2 linked regions of the Arabidopsis thaliana genome follow. The protein of the gene in region 1 interacts with the protein of each later gene in a pairwise test. Each region holds a gene or a part of one and is shown on either strand. Other genes may lie near its edges.

Region 1 (4,243 bases):
AATCTTACAAAGCAAACTCTTTAATACAGGATGGACGTCCAGGCTCGATCAAGCTTTGGAGTCAGGGAAGTCGGAAGACACAAGTTGCTCTTCCGGGAAGCGTGCTAGAATAGACGAAAGTTACAGAAACAGCCAAACCACCTTACTAGATTTAAACTTGCCAGCGGAAGCCATTGAGCGGAAATGAACACTTATCCTTCTTCACCTCCCAATAACACCCTTTTTGTCCAAATAAAGTGTGTTACCCGGATATTTATAGCTCTAAACCCAATCCCCTCTGCTTAATTTGTCAGTGACCTTACCTAACCCTCTTCAGTTCTGAAAGAAGGGGTCAAGCATCGTTACTTACAAAATTTCAATCAGTTTCGGAGTTTACATAGGATAATGGTTATAGACTTATAGTGGATCATATTTGAAGCTGCCTATGAACTCAGGCTTCTCTCAGTGCCTCGAGGTGTAAATTTTTAACTAAACGTAGGTGGATCGTACCTAATTCATGGATATGAATCTCTTGTACATATGCGTTATATATTTGAGATGGTATGAGGTTTTTGTTGTGACGGTGAGAGAGTGTCCCGCAATCTGAAAAATTGGCTAACCTTAGTTTTTCACTTTTTCTGGTTGTAATTTTTTTATTGAATGCATCCCCTAAAAAATTTTGTTTGGTGAGATACCTATTGAATCTCTCACTAATATAATTTTATTATTTTTGGTTCACTTTTGTGTCTCTCATCAATATAATGTATTTTTAGTGTTATTTAATAATTTTAATGTAATTTAACTTGAATACTTCTTTTAATGTCTTATTTTAAATTAAAATATTTCTAACTAATATTTTTAAACCATCTCAAACTACATTTTAAAAATATTCATTTTCAGACATATTCATTTTAAACATATACATTTCTCATAGAGAGCTCTGAGAAGCAAGTGATCAAGTGGAAGCAACTCCCACATGGGTGGGTTAAGTGTAACTCAGATGGAGTTTGGAATGCAGAATGCAACAAGTGTGGCATTTGCTGGGTGCTTAGAAACTCCGACAAGAACGTGCTTTGGATGGGTGCAAGGGCTATACCAAAGGCTCAATCCGCCTTGGTTACTGAGGCTGAAGCGTTGCGTTGGGCGGTGTTGTCACTCTCTCGACTCAACTACCGAAAGGTAATCTTTGAATCTGATTCCCAACAATTGGTGTCTATTCTTGTTGATAACGATGATATGCCTACTCTGGACCCTATTATACAAGACATCAAGTTCTTGCTTCAGCATTTTGAGGAAACAAAGTTTGTGTTCATGCATCGTGGAGGCAATGGAGTGGCAGATAGGATAGCAAAGGAATCTCTTTCTCTTGAGAATTATGATCCTAAGTTGTATTCTATAGTGCCAAATTGGGTAAAATCGTTTGTGGAATTAGACAAGTTGTAAAACTCTGTTGTTTAATGATAATTATTGTTGTTGAGCCAAAAAAGGAAAAAACATATTCATTTTCAATTACTTTGTTATCTTTTATAAAAGGAAAAAAGATGGCTAACTACACGAAATATAGAGAATTACGCTGTCATATATACCAAGTATAATATTGTATCTTGAGCTACACGAAGTACATGTATTGCATGACCATATTTATGAACTATATGACGTCATCTGGTTAATATTATGAACATACAATTCCGGTAAACCGATCAGTTGACTTCGGCGTTGACAAACAAAAAAATGCTAACCATAGTTCAAAGAAAAAGAATTGTTACAAAAACGATTCTACGATAATTTTTATAATTTATAATAAATAATAAATCTAGACGGTAAAAAATAATAACTTAAAATTTACGTTTTTTCTGACATAGAAGTCTATATTTTAGTACACAGATTCTTTTATTTTATTTATGTAGAATGATATGTCAGATTTGTCATCTTTGTTAGAGTCCAAAATTGGCCTCTTCCAAATTTCTTATGGTTCTTTTTCATTTTTTCCCCAAATTTAAATAAATTCAATAAAAATTTGTTGATTTTTTGTGGCCGTTGATTAAAACCGGGAAAGCAGCAGAAACAAATCTGAAAATCTGAGTTAAGCCAACCACAAAACAAATCCACTCCAAACACTCCAAATTACTTGTCTCTCTTCTCTTCCCCACCACCACTACCTTACAAAAACCCTAACCCTAATTTCTCCACCCCCAAATTCTTTTCCTCAATCTCTGCGATGGAAGACGAAGAAGGCATCGGGTTAATTTTAGCCAGAGCCACCGAGCTCAGACTCAAGATCAGCGATTGTATCGATAACTCCAGTACCACCGTCAGCGACAACGGCGATGGAAACGAGGATCTTTCTCCCGGAGAAGGAAGAAAAAGCGAGATTATTGGGAATCAAGACAAGGATTTTGACTCAATCAGCTCTGAGGATGTAGATGAAGCAGAAGCTGAACGGCTTTTGCGTATTCGTGATGCTCTTGAAGCTCTTGAGTCTCAGCTTGCTTCTTTACAGGTTTGAACCAAACCCTAAAAATTTCCTCTGCTTCTCATCAAGTTTCTGGCTTTTAGTGTAGTATTGGACATTGAAAGTGTTAGGTTCTGGTTTTAACTGAAATTGAGTCTGAATTTGCTTCAAGTCTGGTCTATAATGTCTGAATTGCTTCTTTACAGGTTTGAACCAAACCCTAAAAAATTCCTCTGCTTCTCATCAAGTTTCTGGCTTTTAGTGTAGTATTGAACATTGAAAGTGTTAGGTTCTGGTTTTAACTGAAACTGAGTCTGAATTTTGCTTCAAGTCTGGTCTATAATGTCTGAATTGCTTCAAGTCTTGGTGGTGGTTAATGTGGGGATGGTTTTTGGTTTGTGGTGAACAGAATCTAAGGCAAAGACAACAATATGAGAAGCAACTGGCTCTCTCTGAGATTGATTACAGTAGGAAAATGTTGCTTGAGAAGCTTAAGGAGTACAAAGGGAAAGATTTTGAAGTGTTACGTGAGACTACGACTTTTGCTGGTGAAAGAGTTGATTATGAGAATGATCTTTTACTTCCTCCTTATCCTGTCCATCCTCCTCTCTCCCTTGGTTTAGATAATAATAATGGTTACCTATCTCACTTACCTTCGAAGAAGAAATCGGATGCGAATGGGTTCGGCTCAGGACATGTGAGGAACGAGGCAGAGGCGAAAAGTCCCAACGGAGGATCTGGAGGTTCGAGTCATGGGGTTATTCGCTTCTTAGGCTCTGTCGCAAAGATCGTGCTTCCAATCATCGGTGTTATCTCTCTATTGTCTGCATCAGGATATGGTCCAGAGATGAGGAAAAGAGGCGCTTCCTTGAACCTTTTTGGACTTCTCCCGCACCGAGCTACCAGAGGGAAGAGAACACCTAACCAATGTCCACCAGGGAAAGTTCTTGTGATTGAAGATGGAGAAGCACGGTGCCTTGTTAAGGAAAGAGTCGAAATACCATTTGACTCTGTTGTAGCGAAACGCGATGTAACTTACGGATACGGTTGAGTTTGAAAGAAATTAAACACCCTCCTCTGTAATGTTCATTGCCTGACATTCAGTGTGTAAAGTTTCAACCTTTTCTTACCTCTTAGATATGAAAGCCACATGGTGCTACATAACTCTCACAAGTTTTGTTCATAGTTGTGCAAATAAATTGGATGAGGGAGAGATTCATTTGAGTAGTATAATCTCTGTTCTGCCAATTTGATCAATAGATTCAGTGTATCCCAACTTATACCACTTGGTGTGGTTGGCCAATACATAAATAAGTAAATTAATGAGATAAAGAGATCTAAAAGACTTTTCTTTAGTGTTTTGACTAATAATTGGTCAAGCCTACCATTACAAACTATGTTCCATTACCAGTACAGAGCACATGGTTTCACTTTTTAACCAAGCAACTTTATCTTAAACTTGCTTATCAAGAACTGTCTCTTCGGTAACACAAAAGGGTCTTTTATCAAAACCTATATATAGGATACTTTTCATAATTGGAGTAAGATCTACAAAACAGAGAGTTGTATACTTTAAATCATTTAGAGGTTGTGAAATATTATGGAGAGTGAAGGAAAGATTGTGTTCACAGAAGAGCAAGAGGCTCTTGTAGTGAAGTCTTGGAGTGTCATGAAGAAAAACTCAGCTGAATTAGGTCTCAAACTCTTCATCAAGTAAGTAATGATCCCATTGATCTCTCTCTATTTTCTTTTTATGTATATAGTCTGAGATATGAACTACTATTTTGAACTGTAGGATCTTTGAGATTGCAC
Region 2 (7,702 bases), on another chromosome or scaffold:
ACATTCTGTTATATACATGTCATTATGTTCTTGACTATGGACTTGGAATTTTCTCGTCTGGGTTTTCTTGAATGCGTGTGTCTTTGTTTTTTCCAGCCATGTAAAGGCATATTGCTTTTTGGTCCTCCGGGTACGGGTAAAACGCTGCTTGCCAAGGCGCTTGCAACAGAAGCTGGGGCAAACTTCATTAGCATAACTGGCTCAACGCTTACCTCAAAGGTACATGGAACCTTAAAACTATGTTGTTTGCACTGTCACGTTGATATTCCACTTTGTAAACATCTTCATATAAATAAGGAGAATATCTAATGACATAAGAAAAACTTTTCCACCCCGGTCATCGACTTATTATTGTCAATGCCGATTGTAACTTAGAGTAAATCTCTTTCCAACTTTACCTCTGATTGGTTCTGATTTAAGTCAATTTCGTCCATTGTTTGGCACAGTGGTTTGGAGATGCAGAGAAGCTCACGAAGGCTTTGTTCTCTTTTGCAAGCAAACTAGCCCCCGTCATTATATTTGTTGATGAGGTGAGAAATTGTTTAGCTTTATATCACTTTTCAATTTCGGTTATTGCTTTTTATGAGGAATACTTTTGTGATGCGTAAAATGTGTTACTCAAGGACTAACTGTAATTTATTTTGTTGTCGTATAGGTTGACAGTTTGTTGGGTGCTCGTGGTGGTGCTTTTGAGCACGAGGCAACACGAAGAATGAGAAATGAGTTTATGGCAGCTTGGGATGGACTCAGATCAAAAGATAGCCAAAGGATTCTCATTCTCGGTGCCACCAACCGACCTTTTGATCTTGATGACGCTGTCATTCGTAGGCTACCAAGACGGTAATTTAAGCTTTCAAGTAATTTCTCCTTTGGAATATTTGTATCTTTTCGATAATTGTATTGAGGCTTGTGTTTATAGGATATATGTGGATTTACCAGATGCGGAAAACCGGTTGAAGATATTGAAGATATTTCTGACACCAGAAAATCTTGAAACTGGTTTCGAGTTTGATAAACTTGCAAAGGAAACCGAAGGATATTCAGGAAGCGATCTAAAGGTTTGGTCATTCGGGGTTTCATTTACAAGTTCGAGTATGATTCAACACAGTAGTTCTGATTCCTTTTCTTTTCTTACATTGCAGAATCTATGCATAGCAGCTGCATACAGACCTGTTCAAGAATTGTTACAAGAAGAAAACAAGGTAAGGACATGCATAAACCCACACAGTTGATTTCTGTTGTTACGAAAAATAATTTTTGTACTCACTCCATGCTTTTGAAACGTCGAATTATCAGGACTCGGTAACAAATGCGTCCCCTGATCTACGACCACTGAGTTTGGACGACTTCATTCAATCCAAAGCTAAGGTATTGATCAATCTCTTAAAAAACATCATCATCATCTCTATTCATGTTTTTTCCCCTGGTGTTTGCATTATCGAAATTGCGTCATTGTAATGTAATTTGCAGGTAAGTCCGTCAGTGGCATACGACGCGACGACAATGAACGAATTGAGAAAATGGAACGAGCAATACGGTGAAGGAGGGACCCGAACTAAGTCTCCTTTCGGCTTCTAAGCCACAGTTTTGTTACATTCATCAATGTCTCTCTTTAACAATAGAACTCGTTGATTTGTTCCATGTCGTAACAATAAAAGTCACTATTTCAATTTTAATCATAGTTACACAAGAGAGACCTTTAAGAAATGAAAAAATAGTAAATTAACAAGTCGTCATTTGCTCAAAATATTTCTGGTTTCTCATCCAATAATCACAATTCTGTACTACATAGTTATCACAAATCCTTTGAGATAATATTTCTGCATATACTATTGGTCAAGACAAAGCAAATCCTTTGTATTTGCCGACCAAAAAAAAAAAATCCTTAAACTCTCTCCTTACGCGCTCTTTTATTTAAATTTAGCGGAGAACTATTACAACGTTGACTCAACGCGCCATGGATGCGCGTGAGATTAAAACACAAAAAATATTTCTTTTGACAAAAATTGAAATTAGCCGTATCTGCTAATTCCATGGCGGAAAAAGGAACGGCGACGAAAACTAAAGAGTAGAAGAAATAAGAGACACTCTCTTACTCTTACTCTTCCTCTTGCTCATTTTCGTAAGAGACGATGGCGGAAGTATCAGCAAAATCGGTGACGGTTGAGGAAATGGCGGAAGAGGACGACGCTGCGATTGAGGAGCGGTGGAGTCTTTACGAAGCTTACAACGAGTTACACGCTTTGGCGCAGGAATTGGAGACGCCGTTCGAAGCACCGGCGGTTCTTGTGGTGGGACAGCAGACCGACGGTAAAAGTGCGCTTGTGGAAGCTCTTATGGGGTTTCAATTTAACCATGTCGGCGGCGGAACCAAGACTCGTCGGCCGATTACTCTCCATATGAAGTACGATCCTCAGTGTCAATTCCCGCTTTGTCATCTCGGATCTGATGATGATCCTTCCGTTTCTCTTCCCAAATCTCTCTCACAAATTCAGGTGTTTTGTTATTATTATTACTTGTGCTTCTTCAATTGCTTGTTTCTGCGTATAAATTCTGGGAAGATTTTGACGAATGTTGAGAAACACAAGTACTTAGGTTTATTGTAGAGAAGCGAAATGCTCATGTTAACGAAATTTGTTATATGATTTGGAGTTAGGCATATATTGAGGCTGAGAACATGAGGCTGGAGCAAGAGCCATGTAGCCCATTCTCTGCAAAGGAGATTATTGTGAAAGTCCAGTATAAGTATTGTCCAAACCTTACCATCATTGATACACCTGGACTTATTGCTCCTGCACCAGGACTGAAAAACCGAGCTCTTCAGGTTGTTTTTTCTTATGGCTTCCAGCCAATTCCGTGGCTGATTTCATGTTTTGGTTTTGCTTTATTTGAGAGTGGGTTACTTGTTCTTTTTCTTAGGTTCAAGCACGGGCTGTGGAAGCTCTAGTCCGAGCAAAGATGCAACACAAAGAGTTCATCATTTTATGCCTCGAAGATAGCAGTGACTGGAGCATTGCAACCACTCGAAGGATAGTGATGCAAGTACGTTGCTTGACGTAACTCCATTGCGTCTAACCTTGTCTTTATTTTTGTTAAAGTTTGTTTCTCGTTCATGTAGGTTGATCCTGAGCTTTCTAGGACAATTGTTGTTTCTACAAAGCTTGACACTAAAATCCCTCAATTCTCATGTTCATCTGACGTGGAAGTCTTTCTCTCACCTCCTGCAAGCGCACTTGACAGCTCCTTATTGGGCGATTCTCCTTTTTTCACGTCTGTGCCTTCTGGAAGAGTTGGCTATGGACAGGATTCAGTGTATAAGTCTAATGACGAGTTCAAACAGGTCTCTGCTCTGCTGTCTGATTCCTTAAACAAGTTAAACAGGTCTTTTTCTAAACTATGTGTGGTTTTTATTACAGGCTGTGTCACTTAGAGAAATGGAAGACATTGCATCTTTAGAGAAGAAGTTGGGCCGTTTACTGACAAAACAGGAAAAGAGTAGGATTGGCATCAGTAAACTGAGGTTGTTTCTGGAAGAACTACTCTGGAAAAGGTATAACTGTTGTTTTAACTCTGATTTTTCCAGCCTCTGTTTCTATTGTAGTTTACTTTTCGCTGTAGTCTTGATGCCCTTCTCTTTCCAGGTACAAAGAGAGTGTTCCATTGATCATTCCACTGTTAGGAAAGGAGTACCGCAGTACAGTCAGAAAGCTGGATACCGTGAGCAAGGAACTTAGGTCGCAATTTGTTTTGTCTGAAAATGTCTACTTGATTTTAGGCAGTTTAATTGTTAGCTACTGATTTATAGAAAATATAACTCATTGGAGGTTGAATAATTCCTTTCAATGCAGCTCTTTGGATGAAGCAAAACTCAAAGAGAGAGGCAGGACTTTCCATGATCTCTTCTTAACCAAGGTAACTGTAGAGAGCATTTCGTTTTTTTAGATTTCTATTTACACCTTCCCATACCTTTTCATTTTTGCCTGGACTCGTGGATTAATAGTTTTTGTATAATTACAACAAGTTCATTTGTGTAAACTTCTCTTTTTTTTTGGTTTATTAACTACTGACACATAAAAACAAATTTGTTTATTGATTACTGACACATATAAAATTATGCTACAGTAAATGATATCTAGGACTTGCTACAAATTCAGAATGGCTGTAAACTTTTTGTGTTGGATGCCCTTAAGACTTTAAAATTGCTGCGTCATATTTTCTGATTGACGTACGAAGTACCTTTGTTAGTATTGATCAGTGCTGTGTTTTCTCACCTGTTTTGTTTATATTTTTCTTGATCAGTTATCGCTGTTATTGAAGGGAACAGTTGTGGCCCCTCCAGATAAATTTGGTAATGTTACTGCTCTGTTCTCTGCTAGTCAACTTCTTTGGCATAAACTTTTCTTGTTTCTGGGTGTTGTTAAATTGGACTTTTGCAAAATCAGTTTAGTTAAATGCATATTGTTCAATTCGACTGGGTCACCAGACTGCGATGATTACACATGGAATGATGTATGCTAATCAATCAATCATTGGTCATGATACTTTGGTTACTGGCAGAAGCACATTTTATAACAGCATTCTCTTTATGTTGGGTTCTTTGATTGTTAATAATTTCTCATGGTGTTTTTCAGGTGAGACACTGCAAGATGAAAGGACACAAGGAGGAGCATTTGTTGGTACTGATGGTCTCCAGTTTTCACATAAGCTAATACCGGTAAGTCTTTCCCTGAAGCAGAATATTGTTGGACTTTATAGAGCAAGCTGGGCATGGTCTTCAAATCCAGTTGTCTTGTTCTTGTACATGGATTATAATATGATGGAAGATAAATTTGACCGCATGAAACATATGTGCCAAAGAATAATGTATTGGAAACAAATAAAAGAGATACTTCGTTGGACCTTCAAGAATTATGAGAGACCATAACCAGATTATCTTTCATTTTACAGAATGCAGGGATGCGTCTCTATGGGGGTGCACAATATCACCGTGCCATGGCTGAGTTTCGTTTTCTAGTTGGTGCTATCAAATGTCCCCCAATAACGAGGGAGGAAATTGTAAATGCATGTGGAGTTGAGGATATTCATGATGGAACAAACTATTCCAGGTATCATAGGATTGACTGACATGCAACACACTTCTCAATTTATTGTCTTTGCATCCCAGACCCCTTTCAGTATCTAATCTGAGCTGCAACGTTTGTCATGTTTTCTATGGCCTCTTATTCTCTTTCTCTTATTTGCTGTTGTAGAACAGCTTGTGTTATAGCAGTTGCGAAGGCTCGTGAGACGTTTGAACCTTTCCTTCATCAGGTGACATAGATATAGCTACTTTTTTCTTTTTCTTTCGTGGAGGATGGAAAGCAATTTTACTAATTAGTTAAGGTGTACTGTACGTAAAAAAAAAAATGAAATATAACGTTATATATTGAAATCATACTACCATTCAGTTTTGAGATTTGCTGGAACTTATTTGTGCATAAGAGTTATCGAGTAAACATGTTCTGCTTACAGAAACTATGTTTGGGAATACTTTCATCTGAAATTTTGTTATTCACATGTTTCTCTTTCCATACAGAAAGTTTTTTCCAGTTCTCATTTTCGTTTGTTTTGCGTTGATATAGTTAGGGGCGAGGCTTCTACACATTCTCAAGAGATTGCTTCCAATTTCTGTATATCTTCTTCAGGTAGGTACTGTTTTCTTTGGTTTGACGGTATCATACTCATGATCCCTTTCCAGCAAATTTTTTGATGTATGTTCTAAATTTGAATAGAAAGAAGGTGAATATTTAAGTGGGCATGAGGTGTTTCTCAAGCGGGTTGCTTCAGCATTCAACAGTTTTGTGGAGTCCACAGAAAAATCATGTCGTGACAAGTAATTCTATTTCCAATTCCTGTTCTTACCATGTCGGTGCCTCCTACCTGTGTTCTAGTGAGCTTTAGTGATTGATCACCCTTTGGATTTTATATTGTTTGCAGATGTATGGAGGATTTAGCAAGTACAACTCGCTATGTTACATGGTCTCTTCACAACAAGGTCATTGCTACAGCCCTATAGCTCTGTTTCAATCCAATTGAGTTGTGTACATACCATCAAGTATCCGTTTCTGATTGAGTAGTTTTCGTTTCTCAATGTTATGTAGAACCGAGCTGGTCTACGTCAATTCTTGGACTCATTTGGTGGAACAGAGCATAATACGACATCAGGTAATGCCATAGGATTTAGTCTTCCCCAAGATGCATTAGGTGGCACAACAGACACCAAGTCAAGATCAGATGTAAAGCTAAGCCATCTCGCCTCAAACATCGATTCAGGTTCCAGTATTCAGACAACAGAAATGCGGTTGGCTGATCTTCTAGATAGCACACTTTGGAACCGCAAGCTTGCTCCTTCCTCTGAGAGAATTGTGTACGCATTGGTCCAACAGATATTCCAGGGCATACGAGAGTACTTTCTCGCCTCTGCTGAGTTAAAGGTTTGCTCCTACTTCAGTTTTTACTCAGATTCTTCTTGCTTTTAAAATGACTTTTCTTTTAAAAAGTTTGTATCTGTGTTTTCTTTTGTTCTGCAGTTCAACTGTTTTCTTCTAATGCCCATCGTTGATAAGTTACCTGCTCTTCTCCGGGAAGAGTTGGAAAACGCATTTGAAGACGACCTCGATAGTATCTTCGACATCACGAATCTCCGGCAATCACTTGATCAAAAGAAACGGAGCACAGAGATCGAGCTCAGAAGGGTAAACCAAACTGACTTCTATGATCAATGTCTCTTTTTTCTATTTGCCATTGGAAGTATGCAGGAGAACTAACATTATGTTATGTGTCATGTTTTGGACAGATAAAGAGGATAAAAGAGAAATTCAGAGTGATGAATGAGAAGCTAAACTCTCATGAATTTGCTCAAAATCTAAAGGCTCCTTCGGTGCAGCATTGAGTGACTCAAGTTCAATATTGCTTAATTATATTAGGTTAAGAAACAATCGAAGAGTGAGGGAACATCTTATGTGTACTTTGTATGTCCAAAAACATACTAAAGAACGTTGTCGTTTCAAGTGATTAAGGTTTCGCTTTTTGGTCCAATGTTTGCAAATTTCAGTTTTGTAGAAACGACAGTCGTATCATTTATTTCTAAATAAATTATAATCAGTAAATCTAAAAGGAAAAAAAAATGTCGAATAAAAAATACCATCTAGAAAATTATTTTAAAAACTATATGGATGTGAAAAAGAAAAAAAAAATGTAACATGTGGATAGAGGATAGCTATTCTTGGAACTTAGAAATATGCTATTTGAATCGAAAGTATTTATTTAGTTAAATGGTTCTTTGATTATATTTCTATGTTCTTTTATTAGATTATTTACAGCTTGAAGTTTTTTTTATGTTTTTAATTTTTATCCATCACTAATACACATATGACCTACCCTCCTACCCATTAACCTCCACCTAACTACGAGCGCATTCACATTTTAAACACTCTCTTTCTTTCAACCATTTCCTCAAAAATATAATAAAGAAGTAAAAAATAAGCTTAACGTTTTCTCCACGTGACAAGAACCAAATGTTTCTCCACGTGATGATTATCTCGTGATCTAACTAGAGTTTCCGATTAATCTTAATAGTAAATTAACCGACCAATTTTTAGTCATATAACTTGAATATTAAGAAGGAAACTACAACTTATTTTTGAATAAACGTAAAACTGAT

The links.
Region 2: the proteins of PDV2 (region 1) and ARC5 interact in a protein complementation assay, tested with the Arabidopsis thaliana proteins (one study listed by BioGRID).

The regions. Positions count from the first base shown.
Region 1 is NC_003071.7:6,983,311-6,987,553, reverse strand, and holds PDV2 (plastid division2), read left to right. Parts: upstream 1-1,933; 5' UTR 1,934-2,197; coding exon 2,198-2,479; exon of another isoform or gene 2,480-2,562; intron 2,563-2,637; exon of another isoform or gene 2,638-2,807; coding exon of another isoform or gene 2,808-2,840; coding exon 2,841-3,482; 3' UTR 3,483-3,708; downstream 3,709-4,243. Other genes in the region: ARI2 (RING/U-box superfamily protein), read left to right, coding at 30-187; HB1 (hemoglobin 1), read left to right, coding at 4,032-4,144, 4,227-4,243. UniProt on the Arabidopsis thaliana protein: Component of the plastid division machinery consisting in a binary fission accomplished by the simultaneous constriction of the FtsZ ring on the stromal side of the inner envelope membrane, and the ARC5/DRP5B ring on the cytosolic side of the outer envelope membrane.
Region 2 is NC_003074.8:6,849,820-6,857,521, reverse strand, and holds ARC5 (P-loop containing nucleoside triphosphate hydrolases superfamily protein), read left to right. Parts: upstream 1-1,931; 5' UTR 1,932-2,132; coding exon 2,133-2,495; intron 2,496-2,656; coding exon 2,657-2,824; intron 2,825-2,919; coding exon 2,920-3,042; intron 3,043-3,118; coding exon 3,119-3,340; intron 3,341-3,416; coding exon 3,417-3,550; intron 3,551-3,641; coding exon 3,642-3,734; coding exon of another isoform or gene 3,735-3,749; intron 3,750-3,848; coding exon 3,849-3,912; intron 3,913-4,299; coding exon 4,300-4,348; coding exon of another isoform or gene 4,349-4,441; intron 4,442-4,631; coding exon 4,632-4,714; intron 4,715-4,947; coding exon 4,948-5,105; intron 5,106-5,249; coding exon 5,250-5,310; intron 5,311-5,621; coding exon 5,622-5,684; intron 5,685-5,771; coding exon 5,772-5,872; intron 5,873-5,976; coding exon 5,977-6,034; intron 6,035-6,140; coding exon 6,141-6,473; intron 6,474-6,569; coding exon 6,570-6,734; intron 6,735-6,835; coding exon 6,836-6,931; 3' UTR 6,932-7,164; downstream 7,165-7,702. Other genes in the region: AT3G19740 (P-loop containing nucleoside triphosphate hydrolases superfamily protein), read left to right, coding at 97-219, 447-530, 656-840, 920-1,058, 1,143-1,202, 1,297-1,368, 1,471-1,578. UniProt on the Arabidopsis thaliana protein: Mechanochemical GTPase component of both plastid and peroxisome division machinery. Required for the last steps of plastid division specifically in mesophyll-cell, when the narrow isthmus breaks, facilitating the separation of the daughter plastids.